4 linked regions of the Cricetulus griseus genome follow. The protein of the gene in region 2 interacts with the protein of the main gene of each other region in a biochemical or structural test. Links are inferred from orthologs where the notes say so. Each region holds a gene or a part of one and is shown on either strand. Other genes may lie near its edges. The genes, in order: Cited2, Tfap2a, Eps15 and Kctd15.

Evidence for each region.
Region 1: the proteins of Tfap2a (region 2) and Cited2 form a complex in vitro, tested with the Homo sapiens proteins (2 studies listed by BioGRID, with this or other methods). The link is inferred for Cricetulus griseus from reciprocal best matches to the Homo sapiens genes TFAP2A and CITED2.
Region 3: the proteins of Tfap2a (region 2) and Eps15 form a complex in vitro, tested with the Homo sapiens proteins (2 studies listed by BioGRID). The link is inferred for Cricetulus griseus from reciprocal best matches to the Homo sapiens genes TFAP2A and EPS15.
Region 4: the proteins of Tfap2a (region 2) and Kctd15 form a complex in vitro, tested with the Homo sapiens proteins (2 studies listed by BioGRID, with this or other methods). The link is inferred for Cricetulus griseus from reciprocal best matches to the Homo sapiens genes TFAP2A and KCTD15.

What each region holds. Positions count from the first base shown.
Region 1 is NC_048595.1:271,951,569-271,959,490, forward strand, and holds Cited2 (cbp/p300-interacting transactivator 2), read right to left. Parts: upstream 4,574-7,922; 5' UTR 4,441-4,573; intron 3,974-4,440; 5' UTR 3,966-3,973; coding exon 3,156-3,965; 3' UTR 2,257-3,155; downstream 1-2,256. UniProt on the Homo sapiens protein: Transcriptional coactivator of the p300/CBP-mediated transcription complex. Acts as a bridge, linking TFAP2 transcription factors and the p300/CBP transcriptional coactivator complex in order to stimulate TFAP2-mediated transcriptional activation.
Region 2 is NC_048596.1:260,400,038-260,407,317, reverse strand, and holds part of Tfap2a (transcription factor AP-2-alpha), read left to right. Parts: intron 1-1,563; coding exon 1,564-1,795; intron 1,796-3,490; coding exon 3,491-3,609; intron 3,610-5,542; coding exon 5,543-5,684; intron 5,685-7,280.
Region 3 is NC_048595.1:40,454,813-40,462,092, reverse strand, and holds part of Eps15 (epidermal growth factor receptor substrate 15), read left to right. Parts: coding exon 1-23; intron 24-202; coding exon 203-293; intron 294-1,062; coding exon 1,063-1,098; intron 1,099-2,783; coding exon 2,784-2,920; intron 2,921-6,352; coding exon 6,353-6,422; intron 6,423-7,280. UniProt on the Homo sapiens protein: Involved in cell growth regulation. May be involved in the regulation of mitogenic signals and control of cell proliferation. Involved in the internalization of ligand-inducible receptors of the receptor tyrosine kinase (RTK) type, in particular EGFR.
Region 4 is NC_048602.1:3,870,229-3,877,066, forward strand, and holds part of Kctd15 (BTB/POZ domain-containing protein KCTD15), read left to right. Parts: intron 1-1,938; coding exon 1,939-2,083; intron 2,084-4,635; coding exon 4,636-4,941; intron 4,942-6,072; coding exon 6,073-6,231; 3' UTR 6,232-6,838. UniProt on the Homo sapiens protein: During embryonic development, it is involved in neural crest formation. Inhibits AP2 transcriptional activity by interaction with its activation domain.

The sequences.
Region 1 (7,922 bases), on a different chromosome or scaffold from region 2:
AACAGTAGTGATTAGGTAACTGTTCTTCAAAGACCTATCCATAGCTCTAACATCTTTATCAGCCATAAAGATGCCGCCACCAGGATTTTATCAAGCACCCGCAGACCCACACGATTATATACATGCAGACATATTTTTCTGCTATGTATCAATGGGGCTGTGCTTATCACTCATCTCGTCTTGAAAACCAAGCATGGAGTGTCTATTTGTGTGCAAAGCCTAAAGAACAGAGGCCCTCTTGTACCGCATTAGAACTTTTTGACAAACAGCCAAGGTACAGAGGTCAAATTTCCCCATATGCTCTAAGCAACATAGTAGGAAGCAAGACCACAGAAGGTTTTTGCAAATGTCTGCCAGGAGCCCGGTGATCTAGGTCACTGTACAGGTTTCATTAATCGGGTTGTTTAAACAAGGGCTTATTTTTCTCTGCCTAAAGCGACCTGCAGATATCACGTAGGATCTGCTCAATTGTTGATCAAGAGAGTTTTAATGAAATAGAGATGGCGGGGAGAGCATTTGTATTTGTACTGAGGACAAATTGTGCTTTTAGCCAGCTCCTCTGTTTGAGTCCTCTGTTCTGGCAGGGATGGGTCCAAGTTCTAATAATAGTTACTTGAGCTCTGCGTCTCTACATACGTGTCCGGCGTTGGAGCAGCGGGCGGGGCGGGGCGAGGGGGGGGCGGGGGGGAAATCTAGTGACAGAGCAGGTGTTATGGCTTCTTCCCTGGCAGAATAAACGGCGAAGGGTGATGGCATGACAGTTCTTTGCTTTACACACACACAGACACACATACACAACACGCACACATACACAAACAACACACACACACACACACACACACACGTGAAAAAGAACCAGAATTGCTGTATTAATATGTATGTAAACAATTGTTTTCCACTTGAGTCTTCGGGGAGTGGGGGTGGGGTGGTCTTACTGTGAAAATGCCAAGCTAGGAAGATTTACTGCCTGATTGAAGATGCAGTATTGGCACGTGTTAGCTGAAGAAAAACTTCAGCCTCAACTATTGGAGAAAGGGGATTGTTTGAAAATTGGGGTCAAAGCGCTCTGGATGATTTCATAGAACATGAATTTTAGTAGGGCGATGTCAATTATAGAGGCCTAACAAACCCAGTGCAGTGTGCATCTTAATTTTACCTGTCCTGCTTGGAAATGAAAGTTACAGAGTGGAGGCAGTCTGAGTCCTACACAGCCAGCCTGTGTGCCAGATTCCAGGACAGCACTTGGGCAAATCCTATGAAGCATGGGGTTTAAGGTGAGAGCCAAACACGGAAAGGAATCGAAGCATGGCTTATTTGTAGGGTTTCTTCACTCTGCATCTCCTTGTTCTCCATAGGTTAAGTATGAGTCTGTTATTTTTTTCTTGGCTGTGGTTATGCTATTCTTAAAAGCATGAAAACATGACAGGGGACAACATCTAAATCCTTCCCCTTCCACCTGGGATGTTTTGACACTTGAAGGCTGTTTCTCCTCCGATTGATTATGTAAGGCGGTCCTCGACACCCATCGGATATGGAGATGGTCTGCATCCTGGTTGTCAGAAATGGTTTTAAAGCAAGGTGCCTGGCACCTAATGCATGGGACAGCAGCAGCTCAGAATTCTGGAAAGTGGGGCATGCTTGCGAAGGCACGTTATGGAGGTTGTAATTGGCCTTTGAATCAACCACTGGGTGAAATTTAAATATTAGAGGAAGCCTCAAGGTGGCTTCCAGCCTCCTTCCACTCAGAACTGTAACCCAGTCAGAAGCTATTTGAGATTATCTTGGAAAATGTGTCTCTCCTTAGCACCTTTGCTCAGAAATAAAATTCATCATTAGAAATAAAGGTAGATTTATATTTAATACCACCCATCAATCACTCGGTATATCACTCTAGTCCACTCCTTTTAAGCCATTGAATCAGAAACACTTGACCCCCCCTCTCTCCCACCCAGTGAGAAAGATAGGTTTAATATTGCAAGCCTTCCCAGCAAAGGTTCACTGTAACTGGATGCAGTTAAAAAACAACAACAAAGCACATTGACAACTTTTCTGCCTTTGATTAAACCACACCAAGAGGCAAGCTACAAAGGTAACAATGCAGCATTATGCCAATTATCTTAAATCCTGCTCTCCCTTAAGCTCACCGTGACCTGTTTTAGTGTCCTGTAACTTACCCTTTGGAAAGCTCTCAATCAATTAACAGTCCAACTTAAAGGAACCCACCCTGCCCCCAATGACTGACTAACAGAAAACAAGTTATTTCTTAACTTTTTATTGACATTGGCAAATTAAAATAGAATAAATTAACAAGTATTTTTTCAAAAAAATGTTTTGTACAAAAATACTGTCAAAATTTCCTAAAAAGCTTTCAACACAGTAGTATCTTTTCATGTACTGAATATAACTATTAGCACAGTGTCAAAAATGTTGAAGACAGAAACAAAATAAAAATCTGTGAAATGTTTGCCACTGACGACATTCCACACCCTATTATTGTCTGTACATATGGGGGAGGGGAGACAGCCAACTTTAAAGTGAACAGTATGACTTCCTGATCCAGAACGGTTTGGCCCTCATCTGTTTAATCTTCCAGTTTAGCATATTTGAAAACTTAGTCTGTACTCAAATGCATAGTTAAAAAAAATGAAGCGAGATGGCAGTTTGTGCAGTAATATCTGCCCTTCAGAGTTCATGCAGCCAACAAATGCAATTTTTCCTTTCAATCATAAATCTGAATGCAGCGCAGTCATTTGAAACCATCTACAAAATCCACAAGATTAAGCAGTTTGCCAAGATTAATATCTAACAGTTGAGCACTGGAGAAAGTGAGGAAATTAGGAGTAAAAACAACAAAAAAAGACCAAGTTAGCTAGATATTTTAACTACATAAGGGAGGTGAATGTCAAGGCTACAAAAACAAGAACAGGAAAAAAGTGGCAGCAATCTTTTTTTTTTTTTAAACCAATTTGTACAAGTTTATAGTTTACTTTGTTTCCAGGTTCTCAAACCTTTCAGGATCTGAAAAGTGAGATACTGCGTCTAAGGGAATGTTTTTTTTTTTTTGTTTTGTTTTTGTTTTTTTAATTCACACCGAAGAAGTTGGGGTGGGGGTGGGGAGGGTGATTTCTTTCGCCCGCCCGCCGAGGTTAACCGAGTCAACAGCTGACTCTGCTGGGCTGCTGTTTGCACACGAAGTCCGTCATAAAATCAAACTCGTTTTGGCCCAGCCAGAGTTCGGGCAGCTCCTTGATGCGGTCCAAACCCATTTCTATCACTAAGGACATAAGCACTTCCTCATCGATGAAATCAGTGTCTATGACATTGGGCGGCAGCATTGCCGCGGGGACGTGAGCCACCGAGGCCGGCATGGTGTTGCCACCGCCGCTGCCGCCCGCGCCACTGCCGCCAGCGCCGCCCGAGGTGCTGCCAGAGCCGCCGGGGGTGCCGCTGCCGCCCGCGCCGCCAGGGGTGCTGCTGCCGCCGCTGTGCTTGGGGTTGCAATCTCGGAAGTGCTGGTTTGTCCCGTTCATCTGGTGGCCTGCAGCGGGGTGCAAATCCGGCATGTAGTGGTTGTGGGGGTAGGGGTGATGGTTGAAATACTGGTTGTTGAGCTTCTGCAGCTGCATGCTGGCCGGCAGGGAGCCTCCCTGGCTGGCCACCGGGGGGCCCATGAACTGGGAGTTGTTAAACCTGGCAGCGGGGGCCAGAGCGCTTGGGGGGTGTCCCCCGTTCACAGTCCCCGGCCCCATGGCGTGCCTGATGCCGCTCGTGGCATTCATGTTGCCCGCGCCGTAGTGTATGTGCTCGCCCATGAGGGCGTTGAAGGCGTGCTGAGGCTGCTGCTGCTGGTGGTGATGCGGGCTCGGGAACTGCCCCATGCCCATGCGGTGGGCAGGGTGGTGGTGCAGCCCGTTGGTGCCGTCGGGGAAGCGCCCGTGGTTCATGGCCATCATATGGTCTGCCATTTCCAGTCCTGAAAGCGAAACGAGTAGACGCTGAGACCCGCGCCACACGTGTCGCCCACCGGAGCGCACCCCACTTCTGTCGCCCCAGTATCCGCGCGCACGTCAAGCGGCAGACCACCACCCCCGAGAGGGAACCCACCGGCAGTCCGTGCACCCGAGCTCGCCACCTCAGCGGACCTGCCGCCCGCCGGACCCGCACAGCCTGGCGCTGAGCGATCGGCCCCTTCCCCAGCGATCCGGGAGGGGGGGGGCGACCGGAGCCCACACCCCCTTAGGTTCCCCGAAGTGGCCTAATAAAGGAAGTGCCCCGGAGCTCGGCCACGAACTTCAGGCATTCAATCAGCCCTCCTCACCCTGTGGTTGCACATCCTGTTGTTATTCCCCAGCTCCGCCTCACGCTCGTCCCCCGGGCCAGCCCTGCCCTCGGAGGACGAGGCTGGCAGCAACCCTGGCCAGCTTCGCCCGCCGCGCTCACCTTCCGTCTTTGCGATTTCTGCTCCGAACACCGAAGGCGGGCTCGTCGGGTCCAGGACCGGCTCAGCAACACATAGAGCGGCAGCCGAGGGGCTGTGGTGCGCTCGCTTGTGCGAGGTTGGCGCCGAGGTCTTGCAGCAGCCGCTGGGGCAGATTGCGAGCCGTTCCCTTTTCTTTTCCCTCCGCTGCCCTCACCGCTCCGCAGGACCGCCCGGCAGCTGCCAACAATGAGCTGTGTTTCTTAGGGCTTTGGCCACAGTTAATATAAGGATCTCTGGAAGGGCGGAGCGAGAGCCTCCCGTCGGCAAGCAAGAAGATGCGGATTCCGGAACTTGAGCGCCCTGGATCGGGTCCCCGAGCCGCGTCCGCGAGTCCGCGCCGCACGTGCGCAGAGGCTGCGCGCCCCGGCGCCGCCCTGAAGTTCCCGGGACTGTGGGCGTCTTTCTGACCCCCAAATGCGAGGTTGTGCCTGCCACCTCCGAGGCAAGGAGGTAATCCTCCAAGCCACCCAGTGCAAGGAAGCACTTACAGGAGAGAAACAAGGAGCACTCTCCGCCTTCCTCTGGCCAGATCTCCCCACCCCCCAGCTCGCTCACCCGGTTCACCTAGTGATCTGCCCTGCGCTCTACAGGAAAATGGGGGTTCGCTCGGCTCCCAGCCCTGCAGTTTTCTTGAGTGCAGAAGCCTCTCAGCCTGCGAATAATGATTTTGCTTTCCCGAGTTGGGGTTTTAAAGCCCCAGACCGACCCTGCCCTGTCCTCTGAGCGCGGTTTCCTGAGCCGCGCCTTTGTGTTTTTACACGGGCATCATGTAAACCTAACCGAGATATTTTCTGCGTGTGCCTGCGTTTCCCCGCCTCCACTCTTTTCAAGGACAGGGGCTGGGGGTGGGGAGCGGCAGCGGCTGCAGGTGGACCGACCGAGCGCGCTCACAGGCCGGGTCGGCTCAGCTCCCGCGTTCGGGGATCCGCTCCACTCTTTCTGGTCTGCTCCACGTTCCCGGAGTACGTGTGCTTCTGCTAAGTTTGCGTTTGCAGCTCTTGGTAGCTTTGGCATCCGAGCTGAGGCGTCCCTGCTCTGTAAACAAACTCAGCGATCCTAGTCCCCAGATCCACCTTTTTGCACATACACTGTTACTTGCTTCTGCTGTTGCCCTTGATCCAGGAGGTGGGGGTGTGTGCAAACTTGCACAGCCTCCCTCCGGGCTCTGCCTGACGGTTTGGGGTTGATTTAGAAGCAAATGGGTTTGTAATTAAGAAATTCGAGGGCTGAGTAAGGCTGCTGCTGCAGCAAAAGGAAAACAGATAGATAGCTTGGTAATCGCTTTGTAAATAAAGTCGTTTTGGAGGTGGGCACGTAGCGGCACGTCCTGTATGGCACGGTGCGCGCATACACTGCTAAGACTCTTCCTTTTCAGTGAAATTGTTCAGTGGAGCAATAGGCGGTGATAATAATAACCTTGCCTGCAGAACGAAGCACAACGAGCCCGATCGCCCATTTGGCTCATTGACTTGCAAATAAAACCCCTAACATTGGTCGGGTCCACTATCCAGTCGGAGCTCTGTTGCTTGGTTAGTTGTTTCCCCAATACCGGGATGAAGCTGCATGGAGCGTGTATTTCTCATTAAGTGGTGAGATCGAGTTTAGCGCTCCGAATAAGGACTTCTGTGTACAGTTGTTTCTTCATAACTTGATGTCCATGGAAGACTTCCTGCTGTAAAGAGCCAGCACCCCTCCCCCTTCCCGTTTCTTTTTCTCCCTTCTAGCTCCAGACTTTTTTTTTTTTAAGGCTGTATTTCTTGAGAACTGGAAATTCTGATACATTGCCTGCCTCATTCAGTAAATCTTTTTTTTTTTTTTTTTGCTTTACTTCTCTGTCTTCCTCTAGTTAGTCCTATTCAAATACCCCAAAACAACAAAACCCTCTGTCTTCCTCTCTACCCTTTTTCCAGGCTGTCCAGCATTTATAACCCTGTATGCAAATGATTGTGAAACCTCAAGAATGTTTACTTTTTGGAGAAGTGAGCAAGAGATATGGCTTTCAGTTATAACAATTCCCCTATTTTGTTCACCTCCTAATTTCTCCTATAGGTCACGAACATGAAGTTGAACAATCAAGAGGTTTGGAGATCAGAAGGGACACTTCCTATCAAAAAAATTTAAAAAAAAACTGCCAAACCAAGATTATTTTTTGAATAGATTGTTTACTTCCCTTCCTTATTGTGCAGTGTCTTGCGACATAAGGAACAGCTTTTGAATGTCTAATCTAAATTCCTCTTGCAGCCATTAAGGGAAGGTACCCCACCATCCAGCGCCAGCGTTTCTACAGACTGTTAGGCAATCCCCAGAAAGGTCACTTGCCCATCCCCCACCACTAAAAGGAAAAATAAATACTTCTGGGTCCAGCTGGATGGGATGCAAGATGCATTGCTCATTTAGTCTCCCAATGCATGTTCTTCAGGTGCCAGGCACTTCTTAGTACCCTAAGATATAAACAAGACAGGAACTCACGGTTACAAAGAGACCTCTGATAATCAGGCATTGGATACACGCCCCACCCCCTCCCCACCTCCGACCCTCCAGCTCCCCCGCAGCACTGTCACCCCAGAGCACACAAGAGGGATACCATATCCTGTCTCAGAGACATTGGGAGGCTTCCTGGTGGACATGGTAAACTAGTTAAGGCTTCGGGATGACTAAAAGTTTGACCACAGGGACAATGAGTTACTGCAAAGATGAGAGAAACAAACTGGAGAGAACGCGTTGCAGTTGGATCCTAAGGGCCAGTGATTCCAGGCTGAGAATTCTGATTGGGTCCGAAAGACATGGAGGCGTGGGAGCCAGCTTATCAGTTTATGAGGTAGTATGGTGGAGGATGGTTTGAGAAATGAAGACTGACTACAGGGCGTCCAGGTAGGGGGAAATTATTGGGAACACAGGAAGTTCCCTGGGGTTTCTCTTGGAAGCCTGGGGAGGCGTGGCCCGTTTCTGATTGTCAGCATTAGTTGGTTGTATTAGTTTTCTAGGACTGACATAACAGAACACCACACTTAAGCAACAAAACGTGATTGTCTGACACATACTAGGGAGCCAGAAGTCCACAATCAAGAGTTGGCAGGATTGGTCCTGTCTGTCTTGTGTCTGGCAACACTTCGTGGTTTCTGCCCTCATCTTTGCATAGCATTTTCCTGCATATGTGTTTCTCCGCCCTCCAGCCCCCATAAGGACATCAGTTGTACTGGATTAGGCCTATCCTAAAGGACCTCATCCTGTGTTCGAATCAGATCACATTCTGAGTGAACCCCTGCTTTTCAGAAAGGCTTCATCCAACCTTGCCCCGGTGAAGAATGAAGAGATTGAAAGATCCCTGCGGATCGGGAAAGAAACTCCCTCGAGTTATCTTCCCAGACACTCAGATGGCCCTTGTCCTCGTTTCTGTGTCTCTGCTCAAATTCCACCCCAGGGGTCTTGCTCAGTATCCTAC
Region 2 (7,280 bases):
AAATGAAATGTGCAATATTGACCTGATTTGGAAGTGGTTTCATAGCTAATTCATTGTGTGGAGTTAAAGGCCATGAGGGTTAAAAAGTGTATCAAGCTAAAATAATACAAATAATTTAATATCAATGAAAAGACAGATTTTTTTTTTAAAGCCCTCTATTAGGGAAGAAAACTTCATGTTCTCTGATTTAGTTTCTAGTTTCTTGATTGAGTCTCAAGGCTTTAAAACTTGGTGAATTAGGTTAACAAAAATTTAGCTTTTGGTTAAAATTAGCATCTTGAAGATGCCACTATTGACCTAAGTATTTAGAAAAGAAATTGTTAAAAAGGTATTACAGGATTTGAATGAATTTATCATCTGCATTGTGCTTAGTGGGTAGGAATAAAGTTTCATGTATTAAATGCAATAGCAGTATTTTGTTGTTGTTGTTGTTATGATGGCAAAAATCTCAGGGTTCTAGATTCCACCAGAGGACCATGCTATATAAAACTGTTCTCATTTCTAACCCCAATCAGTATAGTGTAAGCTAGTTTAAAGTTTCATTTTTGCATCTGTGAAGTCTTTGTCATGTCAAATTAGATGTGCAAGGGATAAATCTTAAGAGGTGCTCTTTCCAAGTCGACATGATAATTGGCTCTTTTATTAGTAATCTCTCAAGAGTTCGTTTAACTCCTATTGTCTCTATTAGCCTCCCCAGAGCTATTAATGTCACAAGTGATCTATCCAAAACCTAGAGCCCCTCATCTCCCCATACGACTAGAATATCCCCATTAAAAAAAAAAAAAACATGCTGTGATGAGACTGTGTACATATTATTATTACATGTCTCTATGTGGGATTTTAAGATATAAATGCATTGTACTTAAGTGGTTGCGGACGCATCAGAATTAAATTGGTGTTAAGAAATGGACCCCTCGTTTGCCTGGTCTTGAATTTGTTTTCTAACAATGGTTGGTCCAACAATGACGGCTTATGGTTTTAACTGATTGTATATTCTACCTCCCCCCCGCCCCGGACTCTTTTGAAGGGCCTTAGGCAGACCGGGTTCAATTAGTATTTGCTCAACAAAAGGACTCATTCCTAGTGTTCAGCTGTAGGCCCTTTCTTGAGTCCTGTTCAAAAAATGGGCTTGGGATGATTTCCAAAACCCGAGCGTCTTTCAAAATGAAACATCAGGGTCTATCGATGAAAGGAGGTTAGTACAGTGTGTGACAACAGAATGCACCACTTGCTGGCTAAATGGAAATGTTCATTTACTGGCTGCTGCAGCCACCCAGAGTATCCACCGGCTTTAACAGCCATTTCTTTCCGCTGTGAGTCCTTCGTCCGCTAAACCCTGGCTACACCAACCCTGCCCGGGGTTTGCACATGAAACCCACCCGCTGTCTCCCCAAACGCGATCTCCTGCACCTCGCCGGCGCCCTGCGCGAGCCCGGGGCGGGGGGTAGCGACAGCATCAGCCATCTCTAGACAGCTTGCAGCAAGGGTGATGGCAGGAAGCCGCTGCGGGATGCCAGCGCGGTGGGCCCGCCCCCCAACACGCGCCCTCCTCTGTCTCCGCAGGCCCTGTGTCCCTGTCCAAGTCCAACAGCAACGCCGTCTCCGCCATCCCTATCAACAAGGACAACCTCTTCGGTGGCGTGGTGAACCCCAACGAAGTCTTCTGTTCAGTTCCGGGTCGCCTGTCGCTCCTCAGCTCCACCTCGAAGTACAAGGTCACGGTGGCGGAAGTACAGCGGCGCCTCTCACCGCCGGAGTGTCTCAACGCGTCGCTGTTGGGCGGAGTGCTGCGGAGGTGAGGCCCGGCCCCGCCCATTCCGCCCCGCCCATTCCACCCCGCCCCGCCCCGCCCGCGGACGCGGCCTCAGTGCGCCTGCGCCGGGGCAGTAGCGGCGCCGCACGCCGCCGGCTGCCAGGGAAAAGGGCGGGGAGGGGAGCGAGTGGCGCCCGGTGGGAGGGGCCGGAGGCGGGGTGGAGGGTGGGGTGAGGCGGCGCGCCTGCGCATTGCGGGGCCTCGGCTTTCTTCTGCACGCAGGCGCAGCGCTCACTGCTGCGGGCTCAGTCCCGGCCTTGGCAGCCATGGGGCGCCGTGCAGCTGCCTTTTCCCTGGTTGCACACAGGTTGCAAGCTCAGGAAAACTTGTGGGCTCCTCGCTTTGCCTTACCGAAGCGTGGGGTCTCTGATGGGAACCTGTCGCCCTTGAGTGGAGACTGGTTTTCAAGTAAAGCGAGACTTTTGCATGCCGCATGCCTCCCCAACCCTGGTTGCTGGCACCTCCCGCCAGAATGCTCCCCCTACCCCCAGCCTCTGCGCTAGCTTTCGACGGTTCTGATTTACTGTGATGTGTGACAGGGCACGTTTCCAGTTTCCGTTCATTATATGTAGCCGCTCTCAGGGACCACATCCGTTAACACGGGTTTCTCGCCTCTCTGAGGTGGAGTGAGATTCACAAGGGCCAGGGAATGTCTTTCCTGGGACCCAGCGGTATGCCCTCCATCTTAGGAATCTACCCGATGGTGTGAGTTGTAGGCCTAGTGTTACATTTGGTCAAATAGTATGTCTCTTACTCTCCTCTCCATGTCTAACTTTATTCCTGAATCTTAATGACCCGGAGTTGGGCCTTGGTGGGTACAGCTCACCTACATCCTCTAAGAGGGTTTTGCAGAATTAATACCAGCGACTGTCATCATCGTTCAGTCACTTGGTTTTTCCTTAGTTCTTTTACTGCCAGAGATCTTTCTCTGCCCTCTGCTTTTTCCTCCCCTTCCCCCATCACCAGTATCGGAGACTGCTTACCTAAGGGAGTATAATCTAATCCACGCAATTAAAGAGCCACTTGAGTAGGGAATAAAATCTGAAATTAATTAATTTGCTGTTTTATTTAAACAATTTATCTTAACCACTTTCTGATTATGGGAGTCTATTTAGACATCTATTTAGAAGCGCCTCCATTGTCTCTGAAATCAGGGAAATTTTTGAAGGCTGATATCAGCCATCATCCTTTTGACATTTCCAGTTATGCTCCTGACGTGGCATGTAAACAGTTGTCGAGATGCGTTTCCCATTGGGACCAAAGCGAGAGCATGAAATGTGAGCGTGATGATAACTTTGGTTACTGGGAACGACCTAACAGCAGATCTTGTGAAGACAATTTAAAGACCCCACTGGGGTTTGTGTTATTGTAGCAACAGGGAAAATACACAGTAATCAGCTGACCTCAAGAATACCTCCAGCTCCAGAGTTCAGAACTATGTGTTTGCAGCTCTTCTTCAGAGAACTAGAAACAGAAAAGCTCCCAACCTGCCACAATAGTCGCAACAATAACTGAACACAGTGTGTGCTTTACAGCTGAACTAGCCTTTATCTCCTACAACCTTTCTGTACAGTTCCTTAGGCTTCTCAGTTTTCAAGAACACATTTTAGAAAGTGTTCAAAATTACTTTAATGTGACACAGAGCAAGTCAATATTTTCTATATCTTTATGAAACAGAGCGAAGTCTAAGAATGGAGGACGATCTTTAAGAGAAAAACTGGACAAAATAGGATTAAATCTGCCAGCAGGGAGACGCAAAGCTGCCAACGTCACCCTGCTTACATCATTAGTGGAAGGTAAGCAAATCCACTTGCTAAGTAGAAGGGAACAGTTGTCTGGGGAAATGGATAATATTTAGTGGCCAGATGTTTGAGTGTGTTTTGTGTACTTTGGTGGTTTCACCTTTCCATGGAATATAGCTATAACTGGAAGTGAACAGAATTCTGGGATGTCAAGGAAAACCAAGTAACAAAGCCAAACAAAACTCCAGAGACTATATACACTCATGCCTATATGTTCTTCCTGTCTACCATAAAATTACCTTGTCCTCAGCACAAATCTGACCTAAACAATGCACAAATTTAAGAGCCACACATTCTCCAAGTTCCTGTCTCCTCTAAAGAACTCAGCAGTAAATCACTTAAGTTATTCTGACATCTGCGTTTGAGAAATGCGTGACCATTACTTCCTGAATTAATTTGGGAATCTTTGACCTGCATCCTGATTTAAGACTGTCCTGAAAGCTCAGGGTTAAAGCCCTTGTAGTAGTTGTTTTCTAAACATGTACTTCCTCATCTCCTGCTTCATTGTGTTTCGTTCTCTCCACGATTGAAAGAAAGTGAGCAATTTTAGAATTTGGATTGTCAGATACAGAAAGAGAAAAAGAAGCAGACACATTGTAAAAGAGTTTCTTATGGCAGATTTTTGAGCACACACACCCTGCCAAATTCCTCAAGACAAAAAGCCATCCCTGTCCAGTTAAACAAAAACTGTCACCAGAATCCGTTCATGTTCCTGCCTCCTAGATTCCTAACTTTTTCTGATAGTCAGTTGGTTTAAGGTTGGGATTAAGGGTTGGGTGAATGCATAGTTCTCTTGTGCTTTTCTTTGTGGCTTGTTATATCTCTTGTTAAAAGGAAAATTTAAAAAATAGTAATTTATTCCTAGGCAGATTTAAAACTAGCATTTATATTTCAATGAGGCAATTTTATCTTATTTGCATAGTGTGTTGGAGGAGATAGTGCCATTGGATCCAAGTTTTTTGGAAGTTTCTAGAAAGCATCTGAAACAAATGTTTTTGAGGAGGAATTCTATGACTTTCATGTGTTAAACGGTGTTGAAGATGAAGATGATGAAACTTAAAAAAAAAAAAAAAAGCAAGAAAACCCCAGCCATTGTTCAAGGCCAGAAATTCAAATACAGCCACATTATATTAAAATAATGGTAGTATGTAGAAAACCACTTTTCATATCCTACCTCCCAAATTATATGTCATGAAAATGGTGGTGGCAGCCGAGGATGGCGCGTGAGCATTGGTCTGGGTCTGGGGGTTGAGACTGCAGTGGGGAGGCAGTTTCTGGAGAACTGTTATTGTTTGTGATCCGCTCCATTTTATGGAAACAAGCTCTGCCGAGAGGCCTTTGATGCTCTAATTGGCGCATGCGTTCTTCCGGAGCTGGAGCTAATGGCAGGAAGCCCTGCAGTAAAAACCAACTGGTTCAGGAAATTAAAACCAAAGATTCGAAAATCAACAACACAGACAGACTCAGTGGAGTGACCCTCAAATCCTCTTGGTTAATCGGCTTGGATGAACAGATAATTATATGTGATCAAGTTAAAATGTAAACTCTCAGTTGTTCCCTTGCTGAAAAGCTCAAGGAGTAATTATGGAACATCATTGACGAGTGTGTTGATAGGTGTGAGGTTGAGACGGCAGAGCCATTTTCAAACAGAAGTTGGGGAAACATCCCTCAGGGATGGGTATGGGGCGATGGGTGGGATTAACATTTTCAAAGCATTTTGGCCTTGTAAGCCAACTTGGCACTTTTACTGATGAGTAAGGTCTCCAGGTCTCACAGAGAAGGAATCTCTAAAGTAAGAAAACAAGGGGTTTCTGTTCCTTCCAACTTTTAGTGAAGAAAACTAAGGGAGTTGGGTGTAGGGAGGAGACTTTGATTCCCAATTTCTTCTTTCTCTGGCCCTCACTTCCCTCCTCCTACCTCTTGCCAGGAGAAGCCGTCCACCTAGCCAGGGACTTTGGGTACGTGTGCGAAACTGAATTTCCTGCCAAAGCAGTAGCGGAATTTCTCAACCGACAACATTCCGATCCCAATGAGCAAGTGACAAGAAAAAACATGCTCCTGGCTACAAAGTAAGGCATTTACCTCTGCGGGGTCTAGGCTGTTCACTGTCAAAAACAAAACAAAACTATCTTGTGCTCTCTTCTCTTTTTCATTCCTATTGATCAGCTTTGCTGTGAATACTGAAGTCAGGGCACAAACATAAATTAGCACAGACTGTATCAAAGAGGAAACAGCGTGGGAGTGTCAGTGTGCTTCCTGTGTTCTCCCTCTCTTCAGTCTCTTTCTTATTCACTAACTTTGAAATTAGTGGGGGTGTGGGGGGGCAGCAGGGATTGCACTGAAAGGGTGTGGATTTGTGACAGTGTTGTTTCATAGAAACCAGAGTCCAAGTCCTCAAAGGTACCAATCAGGCTTGCCTAGGTCCACATTTTCTCTCATCAGTATGTTCTCCAAGGGCAAAGATTAAGCTGGGACCTGCAAAATGTGCCATCCAGAAACTGCCCTACTTTTACCTCTAATCCTGGATTCCATTTCATTCTCTTCTAGCCTCAAAAGTCTCTCTCTCTCTCTCTCTCTCTCTCTCTCACACACACACACACACACACACACACACACACACACACACACATATAGAGAAAGAGACAGAGACACACAAACAGAGTCACAGTCATACTCTAAGTTTTAGCCTACAAGCAAGCTGTCAAATGGGTTTCAAGGTGGCCCAAGTTTATATTCCCATAGGTGCCTGGGCTGAATAGACTTCTCCAGATTGAAAAGAAAATGACTGTTTTGATATGTTTTCTGGAAATTTAAAAGGATTGTTTTAAAGTCCCTAATTACCAAAAGCTGGTGTCACTGGAGGGCACTGCTGTAGAGAATTAAGAAACTGAGGCCTCGGGTGGGACAGTTTCTGGCCTGATAACACTGCTTCCTCACCTTTACACACATACACACACACACCCACTGTAGCCATCTCAGGAAGGTCCCTGCTACAGCTGGCTTCCAGGGCCAGATCGACTTCCTGGGTTTCCTTTCTCTGTGACTCTCCACAGTTTTCTTTGAAACAGTCTGTCACTGACCCCAGAGCTCACCATTTGGACTAGATTGGCTGTCCAGCAAACCACTGGATTACCCCTGCCTGTCACCCAGCACTGGCGTTGGAGACACAAGCCTTCAAGTTAGGCTTTTACATGAGTTTTGGGAATCCGAACTCAAGTCCTAATCTGTGTGGTCAAGCCCCTTTTCCAGTGAGCTCTCTCCCCAGCCTTGTTGCTGTTTTTAAAAAGCTAAGTTTGCCTTTCCTTGGAAACTCAGACCTCACTGGGTTTGAAGGTAAATGAGAGGAGACTCCATTCCACCAACTGCTACTGTGTCTCCTTTGGGAGTGTGTGGGGCAGACTCTGACGACATTTTGAAAAGCAAAACTGATGGTTCTACAATACTGAAGAGGGACGATTGTGTTTCTAACTTCCGGTGCAGCCTGTAAAATACTTTCCTGTGTCCAGGGAGTTTGCTATGAATGAGAAAGATGTAGGCAGAAGTTTGTTGTGTTTGAGGGGTGGGGGCTGGGGAGAGAAGGTCCTTTTGAGGTAGGAAGGGTATTCATTCCAGGGAGGATCACTGGTTCAGCAGTGGCAGGCTTCACCATTCTGAGCGGCTGGTCT
Region 3 (7,280 bases), on a different chromosome or scaffold from region 2:
ATGATGACAAGCATTCAAAAGAGGTGAAGATAATTATGCATTCAGTTGTTCTTGTCACTTGTCTTAAATGTTCTTTGTAGCTGCAAGAATATTTACTGATTTTTTTCAAAGTTTGTATATGATCTGAACATGGGTCATTGAAGTATTATCTTTTAAATGTTTGGTTACTAAAATATCTGTTTTCATTAAAAATTATTTCTAGGAAGATCCATTTAATGTAGAATCAAGTTCACTGACAGATCCAGTTGCAGATGCGAACTTGGATTTTTTCCAGTCCGATCCTTTTGTTGGCAGTAAGTATCTTTCTTTTGTAAGTGTATAACACTTTCTGATATATAAACTATATAAACATGGAGGCTTCAGTTTTGAAAACATTTTTTACAACATAAGAAAAGCTGAAAATATGGGTTTCTATTCTTTTTATTTGCTAATATTTAACCTCTGCATTATACTGTACAATTCTCTGACTAAGAGAATGTTTCTTCCTCAGAGTAGACTCCACAGGAAAGATATATTATAGTCCAGTGGTAGAGATTACACACTCATGACTCACGTTATTTAGCTAATAATTACTGAAATGCCAACAGCAGGTCAATCATGGGATCACACTGCTGTAATCCCAGTACTTTGCAAATTTGAGTTTAACCTGAGCTACAGAACAAAACTGCCTCAGGAAACTTAAAAAAAGAAAGGAAGGGAAGGGAAGGGAAGGGAAAGGAGAGAGAGAGAGCGCACCAACACTGTAATTTTGATTCATTAGAAGCTCACGGTGCAGTGACACAAACCTTTAGTCCTAGTACTCAAGAGTCAGACATAGATGGGTCTCTTGAGTTCAGCCAGTCTAGTCTACATAGATAGCCAGGGCTACACAGTGAGACTATTATCTTAAAAACAAAACTAAACTAAAATGACAGTAAAAGCCGGGCGGTGGTGTTGGCTCACGCCTTTAATCCCAGCACTCATAGAGATCTGCCTGCCTTTACCTCCCAAGTGCTAGGATTAAAGGTGTGTGGCACCACTGACTGACTGCATTTTAATTTTTGTTTACTTCTTTTGTCACAGGTGATCCTTTCAAGGATGATCCTTTTGGAAAAATTGGTCAGTATATTTTGTAGTTTCTTCTTAACTTTAATTCTATTCTTCTTAATTATAACTTTATATTGTATTTAGAAATGAGAACACACAACTTGGGTAGTTCTAGGAGAGGAACTGCTTTTTAGTTTTAAAACTGCTCTAAAGCCAAGGTAAGATACTAAAATATTCTGGCATTTTTAGAGAGTGATTAGAGCCTTGTGAATTTGCTCAAGAAAGTGTGTGTGTGTGTGTGTGTGTGTGTGTGTGTGTGTGTGTGTGTGTGTGTGTGTATTGAACCTGGGGCTTTGTGCGTGCTAGGCAAGTACTCTGCTATATCTCCAACCCAAGCCTTGCTTTTTAAAAAAGTAATAATCAAAATGTTGCCTAAAAGTAACATTGTTGGTAGGGTTGGCAAGGTGCTCAGTGGTTTGGACTGTGTACTGTTCTTGCAGAGGGCCAGAGCTTGGTTACCAACACCATGTGGGTGGCTCACAACAGCCTGTAACTAGCTTAGAGGAGCCAGTACCTGTGATCTCTGCAAGCACTGCACTTGTACACATACACATAATTAAAACTTTATTCTAAAAGGAATAGGTTCTGATTTCTCCACATTAGCTAAAAGCTAGATCAGTATGAGTTGTACACTACTACAAGACTGCAGGGCTAGAATATAATTTTATTTTACTACTCTACGATTTTAGACTATTCATGTAAATAGAGGGAATTGAAGGATACTAAATTTGAGATAATTGTTTTTCTGAGATTTTTCACTAGAACAAAGAAAATCTTGTTTCCTATTTAGTTTTGCTTCCCAAATGTGTCTCAAGGTATTAGCCTTGAGCTCAGGAAAGAAATGTATTTAAATTTCTGTTTCTTTTGTAAGCATTGGACAAGAGGACTTAAAATTGGATCCCTTAAAATTACATGCTAACCAAAAAGTTTAGTACCTGAAAAGCTCTGTTTCCTCAAAAGTACAATAGAATCTGGAATAAAAAAGGAACTTGGGGTTCCACAGAAGTTCAAGTGACTTTTTAGTTTTTGAAAATCAAGCAGAGTCTAATCAAAGAGGACAGTTTTAAGTCTCAACAGTTACTTAGAGGAAGGGAATGGAGAAGAGAGGGAAAAGCAGTGTTGTCATTAAGCTGGCATGGAGGTCAACCATGTGGTAGACAAGCAGCTACACTGTGGGGGCAGGAGCTTTACAAAGAGTAAAAGAGCTCCAAGTCCCAGGAGATGCATTCTTAGACTCCGGCCAGCACCCAAAAGGGACAAAAAAGAAGTGAAAAGAAGCCGGGCGTTGGTGGCGCACGCCTTTAATCCCAGCACTCGGGAGGCAGAGGCAGGTGGATCTCTGTGAGTTCGAGACAGCCTGGTCTACAAGAGCTAGTTCCAGGACAGCCTCCAAAGCCACAGAGAAACCCTGTCTTGAAAAAACAAAAAACAAAAAAAAAGAAGAAGGAAGAAGGAAGAAGAAGAAGAAGAAGAAGAAGAAGGAAGAGGAGGAGGAGGAGGAGGAAGAGGAGGAGGAGGAGGAGAAAAGAAATGGCTTTGGCTTTTTGAGCAAGAATGGTGGATAGACCCAGCCCTACGTCATAGTGGCTCATAGGGAATGCTTAAAGTGTTTTAATTGAAATGTCATGATATGCTTACAGACAATAAGGAATTACAGTGGGTTTTCAGCTTTTTACATTTGTTCTTTTTCTCCTTAGATCCTTTTGGTGGTGATCCTTTCAAAGGTTCAGATCCATTTGCATCTGACTGCTTCTTTAAGCAGTCTTCTACTGACCCTTTTACCACTTCAAGCACTGACCCTTTCAGTGCATCCAGCAATAGCAGCAATACATCGGTAAGTACACAACTAAAAATTGTTCAGACGGATAAACAAGTGTCCTAAGGAAATTTCTTGAGTATATAGCTATAGAATCTGCCTTTTGATTGTTTTTAATGGTCCATATGAAATTTGTCTGGCTCCCACCTATCCAAGTTTTTGTCTAATGTAATGTTTCATACTTGAACACCCACTGGACACGAGGATGATTTACAGTGTCCCAAAATGAAGTCCATCCTTATCCCGTTGGTGATATTAAGTGTAAGTGACTGGAAATTCAAAAGCCTGTCTTAAGTAAAACTTTTTATAAATATCTGTTATAGTATTGAAAGAATAGAAATTACTTAATGGGAAAGCATTAATATTTTAGAAAAATAAAATAATCCATGATATTTTATAGTTATACCTAGAACGTTAATCTTGGAAAAGTATAAATTCCCATTGAATGTCAAGCTTTCTTGAGTACATGTCCACAACCTCTGTTTAGTAGCCACAGACTATGATCTAAGCCTCTGTGCTATATAGTCATTGTCTCTAATCTTCAATTTCACTTTACAAGGCAAATGTTGATACCTCTGCTTTAAAAATACAGACAGTTTTGGTTTTGAGCCTAACCTTTAATGGCTGAGCCAACTCTCCAGGCATTTATGGCTGGGTGGTGGTAGCGGCTCATATCTTTAATCCCAACACTGGGGAGGCAGAGGCAGGCAAATCTCAGAGTTTGAGGCCAGCCTGATCTACAAAGAGAAAGCCAGAGCTACACAGAGAAACCCTGTCTCAAAAAATCATGTTTCTTTAATATGTCCCAGGTATTTGTGTTTGAAAACTTAAAAAAAAAATTATATAGGGGCGGAGGAAATGCTCAGCCTGTAACAGACTTCAGTTCAGCTCCCCACATCCTCCAACAGCTCACAGTTGTCTGTAACTCCCTCTCTGGACTCCCGCAAGCACCAGGCCAGCATGCACACACGCACAAACACACACTCAGTAGATGCACATACATGCAGCACATAAAATAAAAGTAAATTTTTAAAAATTCCCATTGAATTTGAGTAATTAGAAATACTCAAAATAGAGTAACAGAATGAAATATTTTAATTGTTTTTTTATTTTGAGACTTTCTGAGGCAGCAATCTCATTGCTGTAAGTAAACTGGACCTAGAAAAGCATAATTAATTGGCAGGCATTTCACACTATTTTGTTGTGTATAACTCTTGGGTTAAGATTACCTCCTTAAAAGAATAATTGCTTCCTTAAAAGAATTGTGAGCCAGATATGGTGGTACAGGCCTGTAATTCCAAAACTTAGGAGGTGGGGTAAGAGGTTTGGGAGTTCAAGGTCAACTTCAGCTGTTAGTTTGAGGCCATCCTGGGCAATGTGAGATAAGAAATATGAAAAGAGAAATAATGTAATATAAGGGAGGATAACAGAGGTTAGATTAATAGTACTATTTTTTCTGAGACAGAGTTTCTCTGTGTAGCTGTGGCTGTCCTGAACTCTCTGTAGAACAGGCTGGCCTTGAACTCACAGAGATACCCCTGCCTCTGCCTCCTGAATGCTGGGATTAAATTCGTGCACCACCACTGACTGGCCTATAGTACGTATTTTACTTGAAAATAAGACTCTCTCCCCAAAAGTCTTTTCCAATTCTTCAAGACTGCCTCCTGCTCTCTGATGGAATTAATTTAAATGAAACAAAACTTAGTAGTGTTATGCAAGTACTAAGTCAGTCAGGTAAGGAGTGAATGGCTGATGTACCAGAGAATTTGAATAATAATTAGGTGATTTGTAGAAGGGTTTCAAAACATTAACTCCTATAAAATTCTACCATATGAAGCTGAGTTATGAAACTTACTTTTGGGGGCCAGTTAGAGCAACTTACTCTCTTCTTAAGGACATGGGTTCAATTCCTAGCACTCACACTGGGAATACCTGTATAAGTAAATAAATAAAATTATTTTGCATGCTAAATTTCCTAATTATCAAATTGAACATAGCCCAAGGAGAGTTTTATGATCACTGTTTTTTTTGGGGGGGGGCGCGGTGAGGGGGTTGTTGTTTTTGGTGGTATATGTTTGTTTGTTTTTTATAAGTCAGTGTCTCCTATAGCCCAGATTGACCTTGGACTTACTGTATAGTTGAAGCTGGCTTTAAACTCTAGATCTTCTGGCCTGTATCTCCCTGGTGCTGGGATAAACGAGCATGTGCCACTATGCCAGTCAGGCATATATGACCATTACTCTGTTTTGTTTGAGACAGGTTTCTCTATGTACCAGCCTTGACTGGCCTGGAACTTAGTTTGTAGACCAGGCTAACCTTGAATATACAGAGATCTGTTTACCTCTGCCTCCTGAGTGCTGGGATTAAAGGCATGGACTGCCGTGCCCAGCATAGCCATTGTTCTTTTCTCGGCTGTACACTCTGTCTCATTCGTGTTTGAGTGGTTGCACTGTTTGATGAAGAAATAGAACAAAAACTACATCCATAAAGGCATTACTGCTTCCTCCCCTCCTTGGTTGTTTATGTGTATGTGTGTTCCTCTGAAGGGCAGAGTTCTAGGTTTTTGTTTTGTTTTTGTTGTTGTTATTGTTTTATGATACAGTGTCTCTATCTAGTCCTGGCTGTCCTGTAGCTCACTATGTAGAGCAGGGTGGCCTCGGATTCACAGAAGTCCTTCTGCCTCTGCCTCCTATGTGCTGGGATTAAAGGCCTGTGACACCATGCCCTGCTAGAATTATTATTAAACAGTAGTTACAAATTGTAATATTTGGAGTAAAAGGGGACAGTAGTGAAAGAATTGTAGAAGTCTAAATAAAGCCTATAACTGTAACTTGGGTTTTTTACTGGTGTCAAAAATCCTTAGTTTTAGTAGATAGGCCATGATTTCATGAAATATTAATATTTGAGGCAGCTAGAATTGCATGTGGGAACTTTGTACTGTCTATACAACTCTTTAAGTAATTTCACACTAAAGTTAATGTATGTGCTTATAAAGCAAAAGAAATGAGTACCATCAAAGCCAGGATACTAGTCACCTCTGCAGGGCTTCGGAATACATACAGCTCAGTGACAGAGCACTTAGCATGTGTGAGCTCTAGGGTCAGTCCCAGTACTACCAAAAGGTGACCTCTACAGAAGAGGGCTTGGGATTATGGCTTGTGAGAGGCACGTGAAGCCTACTGAGTGTTGGGACCTTCCTGTGAGATGACTGCTTGAGTGTCCACATGAAACTTAACTTGTTAAATTATACACATGCCTCATACTTTAAATATTTTGCAATCCAAGAGTATTTTCATCCATTGTGACTACATATAAGGAAAGGGAAAACTCTGTTCCAGATGTTTGTATTTTCTAATCCATAATTTTGTAAAGTATTTTTCTTAGGTTTAACAGTGAAGTTCCAGCTATGAAATGTTGCCTCTCGGTCATAAATTTGTACCATTTCTTTAGATAGAAATTTGGAAGCACAATGACCCATTTGCTCCTGGTGGAACAGTTGTTGTTGCAGCTAGTGATTCAGGTAAAGACTTTGTCAGTTTTATTCATGTTAATCATTGCGTTTTCTTTAAGATTTTCTTCTCTAAATGTGTTTGCCCTATTAATTATGACTTTTAAATGGATGTGTAATTATTTCCATTTATAGCACAATACTAACAGCAACAAGTATTTGTGTATCACTTTTTACTCTTCTTATTCATTTTCTTGTTTGTCATTCACACTAAAGGTTTTTCTAGACTATGTACTGTGTTCAGTGTCAATAAAACCAATAAGAAGCTTTTGCTTTAGCCGGGCGTTAATCCCAGCACTCAGGAGGCAGAGGCAGGCGGATCTCTGTGAGTTCGGGGCCAGCCTGGTCTCCAGAGCAAGTGCCAGGATAGTCTCCAAAGCTACACAGAGAAACCCTGTCTCGGAAAAAGAAAAAGAAAAAGAAGCAGAAGAAGAAGCAGCAGCAGCAGCAGCAGCAGCTGCTGCTTTTGCTTTATACAATGTAGTGTTGAGCTGGAAAGATAATGGGTCAGTGGGTAAGAGCACTTGCTGTACAAGCATTTGGATCTGAGTTTGAATCACCAGCACTTACATAAAAAGCTAGACATGGCTGCATTTGCCTGTAACCTCAGCATCAGGAAGCAGAGACAGGTGGATCCTGCAGCTCACTTGCTCACTGACCAACTAGCCTATTCAAAATGACAAGCTTCAGGTTCAGTGAGATTAGACTCCTTGTCTTAAGGCTAAAGGTAGGGAGCAGTAAAGGAAAGGAAAACATCCAGTGTTCTGCTCTGATGTTGCTGTGAACATTCATGTGCCCAAACCACACATATGCATGTGTACACACAGGTGCACCCAAATACAAGAAAGAAAAAAGATGACTACAAATTAG
Region 4 (6,838 bases), on a different chromosome or scaffold from region 2:
ACGAGCTGCCCGGCACTCACAAGGGTTTGCATCAGGGTCACCAGGCAGAGGGCCCCCCCCAGGGGGAGGGGGAGAGAGAGACAGAGACAGACAGAGAGACAGAGACAGAGAGAGAGAGAGAGAGAGAGAGAGAGAGAGAGAGAGAGAGAGAGAGAGAGTCAGTGCACAGTGGCCTGGGTGTGGGCCCTTGGCACTGCCCTTCCCAGTGTCCTGGGGAGGACATTGTCACCAGCAGCCTCTGGAGCCCTCGGGATTTATGTTTGTCAGTTGTACCTCTGGTTCTTCAGGCTCAGGCCTCCACGCCTCTAACCCACAGGTTCTGACCTGCTCACTCCCACCCGCCAGGCAACCTTGTCCTTTATACTGACCCCCTAGGGACAGGCTGGGCCACGTCTGTCCCCAGAATGAGAACAAGTGATTACATGGCCACCGGAACATGGGACTGTGTGGATTGGGAATACCTAAGAAGGGCATTGGGGGCTCTGAACTTCTCAGCTCTGGCAACTGGCATGCTCTGGGTGCACGTGGCTGTGACTGGGCGTGGCTGAGTTGGGCTGAGCAATGAGTGTGTAGCTGTAGGAACAGGACAAGGAGAGAGGATTCTTGGAGGGGGCAGGGTGGTTGGTGTAGGCCAAGTCAACAAGTCCCCTTACCCCCTAATTCCCTGGTTCTCCGAGGCTTGTTTTGTTTCATTTCGTTTTGTTTGTTTGTTTTGGTTTTTCAAGACAGGGTTTCTCTGTGTAACTGCTCTGGCTGTCCTGGAACTGGCTTTGTAGACCAGGCTGGCCTGGAACTCACAGAGATCTGCCTGTGTCTGCCTCCCAGGTGCTGGGATTAAAGGCACTTGCCACTACCTCTCGGCCTCCAAGGCTTTCTTAGGAACAGTTCTCCCAGGCTCGAAGTCAACCAGCCACTGAAGAACTGCTCACCTCCCTTCTGCTCCCAAGTGAAGATCTTAGCTGCCCCCAACCCACTTTGGGGCTCCTGATTATCTAGCTTAGCGTTTGAGATCTGCAGAGCAGTTAGCCAAGCCAGACCCCGCCATTGTGTGCTTGGGGGCAGGGGGCAGTAGCCTAGGCCCCAAGGCCAGGTTTCTCTGCCATGAAATGGACAGTGAGAGGCATCGGGGCTCCCCCAAGGTCTCCTGTGTCTGTAGCATTGTCTTTCTAGGCACTAGAGTCGTTCCCAGTCCCAGCCTCTCTCACCCGATATGCACACATGTGTGGTATACATGAGTACCTGTCCAGGTCTTGGACCACATGATCACTGTGCTCTGGGATTTGCATGCAAATGCAGGCTCTCCCTTGCCTGTCTCTCCCCCGTGGCTCCTTAAGTGAGGCAGTTATGGGGTCATGTCTCTGAGTCGATTGCTTGTGTTAGCTGGTGAGTGTCACTGCCTGAGACTGTGATCCCGGACCTATTGGCTGCACGCAATGCGCTGTTATTTGATGTTGGTGTTGTGGCTTGGGTGAGAAGGTGTGTGTCTCTGGAGACTTAGCTGGTTGACATACATTTAGCAGGTGGCTGACTGGGAGCCAGAGCTCTGGGTGGCCGACACATGTTTTCTGGGCATGTCTTTCTGCTGTAGGTGTGTGTGGGTGTGTGTTCAGCTTGGACCAGCTGGCTTATGTGGTTTTCCAGACCATGTGTCAGTGGGCCATCAGACATAGTTGGGTATGTCCCTTGGCTGGCTATAGCTCTTGAAGGTGGTTGGAGCGATGACGTGGCTGCCCTAGCGTCCTGTGTATGTGAAGGCAGCCTGTCTGCCTCACATGTGTTTGCTGACAATTGTCAGGATTGGCAAGGTCTCCAAGTTACCTTAGAGGTCCCTAAGGGTGACCTCTTGCCCCTCTAGCTGAGTGAGTTCCAAGGAGTGGGGGTGGGGCAGGTGACCTCAACCCTACCCTGCCAATATTCCATCTTGCCCGTCTCTCCCAGAATAAGCCGCCTCTTCAACGGCACGGAGCCCATTGTCCTAGACAGTCTGAAGCAACATTATTTTATCGACCGGGACGGAGAGATTTTCCGCTATATACTCAGTTTCCTGCGGACGTCAAAACTGCTGCTTCCAGATGACTTCAAGGTGAGTCGAGCCAGCGGCACCCCCTGCCCTGCCTGTGTCTCGTGGCATTACACAGGGGACGCTGCGACTTAACAAACGGACCCACAGTTGTCATGGCGACCACCAAAAGCTAACCAATGAAGCCGAGGGCTAAATCAGTTTTTCCAAACTCATTTTGCTTTCTCACATCTTGAGAGTATTTATCGGGGTGTAACAACAATTAAGCTTTGGCTCTTACCCCAGGTTGATGTTAGTTGTGTTTAAGGAGTTAGAGGTCTGTGTGTCTGTCCGTTGTTGCAGTTTGTAGCTGGGGGGAAACCCCTGGGAGCTAGGGGGTTTAAACAAATATCACTCCCAGGACTCTGGATAAGCTTGTCTTGGGTAGCTGATCTGGTTCTCTATGGCCCTGCCTCAGAGCTGAGCCCCTCTCAGGTGCTGGAAATCATGAGGGGAAGATAACTCAGGCCTGGCTCTTGCTGGCAAATGTGTCTGTCTGTCTGTCTGTCTGTCTGTGTGCTTCCTTGCTTTGAGGCTTCCTGCAGCGACTACTGCACCAGCAGCCCCGGGGCCCTTTTTCATCCAGCCCAGTTACTAAATGGCAACAGCTGAATTCGGTCTGAAAATAGAGCTTACACTGGAAGCCATGGGCTCTGCCTCTTCCAGCCTAGAAAATAGAGGTTTAGTCTCAATTGCATGGGGCCCAATGCTTCAGAAAATTGTGCATGCCTGGTGTGATGGATCCCACCAGATACACACTTTGTCCCAGGCCTTCCAAGATTAAGGCAGGGGGATTGCTGAGTGTTCTGGCTAATCTGGCCTACAGAGTAAGCCACTGTCTAGAAAAAGTCAGCAACAATGATGCCGTACACCTTTAATCCCAACACTTGGGAGGTAAATGTTGGCTATGGCTAGTCTTTGTGAGTTTGGTGGGGCCAGCCTGGTCTATAGAGGGAGTTCCAGGCCAGCCAGGGCTACGTGTCTCAAAACAAAGAAGCAGAAACAGACAAAATAGAGTCCTAATCAAAAGATGGGGAAACCTGGCCTGGGTGGTGGGTGTGATGGAAAGTGTTGAGCTAGATGGTGAAGGAAGAATGGAGCAGACAATTGTGGATACCCTAATGACATGGAGAGGAGATCTGGGGCTTTGGGATCCGGGAAGGGAGGGGAGACGGGGAGGCTGCTGGTGAGACCTGCATCTTGCTGGGTGGCTCAGCATATAGCAGGATAGTGGGGCAGAGTGATCAGGTTTGCAAACTGGGAGGACCACGCTGGCTCTGCTGTGAGATGCAGGGAGAAGGAGTGGGGACAGGCTAGCTATGTCACTGTGTTTCTGGGTTTGCTGGGAGTAGGGAGAGAGTGGCATTGGGGGAGAGAGGTACAAAGGCTTTGAGTGTGGGTTATTGGGTCAGGAGGCTCTGGAGGGTGCGTCCAGCTCGCAGCTTCAGCCCTGAGTCAGTGAGTCAAAGTCTGTGCCTGGAACATTCTAGGCTTGGGGAAAGAGTTGGCATAAAGATGTCATATAAAACTCTCAGGGCTGGTGAGAGCTGGGAGAAAAGACCTTTTATGAAGAGCAGGCAGGGTCACAGCTCGTGGTGGGCCTTGATGATGGGATTCTGGGCCTCTGGGGCCAACAACAGAAACACGCTGGGTGTGCAGGCTGGGCTGTGAGAGTTGATCTCCCTTGCTTTTCCCCTGGGACGTCAGTCACCACCTATGCACTGAGTGGCGTGAGTCATGGACATAGGCCCCTCAAGAATTGGTGAGCACACACACACACGGCTAGTGTCAGGGTCTGAGGGGACAGTTTTTGTGGATGGGCTGTTTGGTGAGGACCTTGCCCCAGGACCGTCATTCCCAGGGACCTTGTCATATTCTCTACCTGCTTTGGCAGGGACAGAGGCTTGGCAGGTCTCCTGTCCTTTAATCTTCACTCAGGGTCCAGTGTTTATATTCATTGTAAAGAGGGCAAGCCAGCTCAGGAGGGTTTGTAGCCCTTGTGGCTGATGGGTGAAATGCATTCCCTAAAGGTCTGCTTGGGATCTGGGCAAGGGCACAGTGTGAAGGAGGGCAGCATGTACCCAGCTCCTATCTCCCTATAGTTTCAGCTTCTAGCTTGGTCTTTCTCTTCCTTCCTTCCTTCTTTCCTTCCTTCCTTCCTTCCTTCCTTCCTTCCTTCTTCCTAGACAGGGTTTTTTTGTATGGCCCTGGCTGTCCTGGAATTCGCTCTGTAGACCAGGCTGGCCTTAACTCACAGAGATCCCCCTGCCTCTGCCTCCCCAGTGCTGGGACTAAAGGCGTGCGCCACTAGCAGCTTCCAGCGCTTTCTATGACACTTCTGTTTGCCGTCCGGTTGAAGGTCCAGGAAGAGTCTCATCTGATGCACTCAGCCTGCTTTAGATTCTGTATGTTGGGGGCACACGCACTGGAAATCTTTCTTTGCTCACCTCTACGATGGAAATGACCGTCCTAGTCCTCATTGTATCTGGGAGTTAAGCTGTCTGTGAAGAGGGAAAGGATGAGCAACCCAGATGGGACTGCCTGGTGCTTCCCTGACGCTATGTGTTTGTCCACAGGACTTCAACCTACTGTATGAGGAGGCGAGGTACTACCAGCTGCAGCCCATGGTTCGCGAGCTGGAGCGCTGGCAGCAGGAACAGGAGCAGCGACGGCGTAGCCGGGCCTGTGACTGCCTGGTGGTCCGAGTCACCCCCGACCTGGGTGAACGCATTGCACTCAGTGGCGAGAAAGCCCTCATTGAGGAGGTCTTCCCTGAGACGGGTGATGTCATGTGCAACTCCGTCAACGCTGGCTGGAACCAGGACCCCACACACGTCATCCGTTTCCCCCTCAATGGCTACTGTCGACTCAACTCTGTGCAGGTGAGGGCCATGGATGCAGAGAGAGGTGAGGGAGTCAGTCCCGGAATGGAGTGGACGAAACCCATACAGGAAAGGCAACAATGTCCGGATGCATAATTTATGCCTTGCTCATAATTAAATGATGGTGCCTGGGGGATGGACTTAAAAAAATTGATCTGTACTTTTCTTTTTCCCCTAAAAGGATGTTCTATAAAAAAAAAAAAAAAAAAAAAAGGCCCAGAGTATTTTCAACGGAACATGCTTCATTTAACATGCAGAGGCTGACTTTGGATTCAAATTAAACCCAGGCACCAGGAAAGGCAGGGAGCCTTCCCATGAGGCTGGCCCTGGGGCCACTGGCAGGCAGCAGCTGCCTAGAGCACTTCTTTCCTTCTGAGACAGGATCTTCTGTGTAACCCAGGCCGGATGCAAACTTCGCCTCCTCCTGCCTCGGCTCCCTGTTTCTGGAAGCTTTTTCCTGACTCAGAGACACTCATATTTTGGGGTTAGGACAAAAGGGACCCTTTGGGGAAAGCCCCCCCACTTCCTGCAGGCTCAGAGTAAGAGATTACTCTTTGCAGGACACAGATGTAGGGCCAGCCCCCACCTTCCCAGAGACACAACCCAGGAGGCCTTTGTAGGCCTCCAAGACTCACTCACACACCAAAAGGACTCCCCTCTTTCCCTTCACCTAGAACTCTTTGAGCTGATGAGCCCTCAGGCCTCAGACCATCTGGGACTCAGCTCCAGGAAGCAGGTGGCTGCCCTGAGGCTAGGGGGCAGGGGCTTTCCATTATTGGAGCAGGAGATTCAGAGAGGGGGTGCCTGGGGCCATGTGGGGGGGGGCTGGGGTAGGGCACACCCTAGATAACAGGGAAGGGACCCCAAAAGCCCCTCTTGCTTCCCTAGTTCCTGGCTATGCACCCGTGAGGGTTGGAGGGAGCAGCCTGGGTGGGATAGCAGAGGCCCACCCTGCTTGGATAAGTTGAGGCTTGACTGCACCTTTCCCGCCTAGGGTAGGATCCAGCTGGTGATGCAGCTGGGTCTAAAACCCATCAGAAGGTAGCTTGCTTTGCCTGGCACCCAGCTGCCTACCAGGCCAGGCAAACTCTAGCAGCTGGGCACTGCTGACCCCTTTTTCTTCCCCTGCAGGTCCTAGAAAGGCTGTTTCAGAGGGGGTTCAGCGTGGCTGCCTCCTGCGGGGGTGGCGTGGACTCCTCCCAGTTCAGCGAGTACGTGCTTTGCCGGGAGGAGCGGCGACCGCAACCCACCCCGACTGCCGTCCGGATAAAGCAAGAACCCCTGGACTAGGCCCTGCCTCAGGGCCCACCTGAGACCCCCTCAGTCCTGGGGCAGCCCCATGGACATGGAAAGAGTGCTGAGGAGTCCTGCCTGTTTGCGCTCCACAGTGGGCTCAAGACTGAGGGTGGGAAGGGAGGGTCTGAGCTCATCCCTGGGAGTATGAAGTGTCATGGCAACAGGTTGAGGGATGCCAGAGGCATGCCGGTGGAAGGACTGTCACGTGACCCAGAGATGCCAGGCTGCAGCTATGTGCCAGCTTCCAGCCCTGATGCTCCTCAGCCTGGAACAGCGTCCTCTGCCGGGCCAGTCACTCCGAGCGGCTGCTTATCCTCCTCCTGTGCACGCTTGGCGGACACCGGCGGGCCTCCTCGTGTTGGAGATGGCTTATTTTTCTAAAGTATTTAAAACACAACTAACTGTGGCCGCACAGGTCGGCAAGGCCAACAAGGACCGTCGCTGCTTTTACCTGGTGCTCAGTTCTCAGTCTAATGTTGAGCAAACCTTGCAAAGGATGGCCTGCCAGCATTCAGGCCCAGGTTCATGCTGAGCTGGGGCTGTGGGGACAGACGTGGCTGGCAGCGGCAATGGTGCTGCCAGAAATGGAGCATGGCCCCCA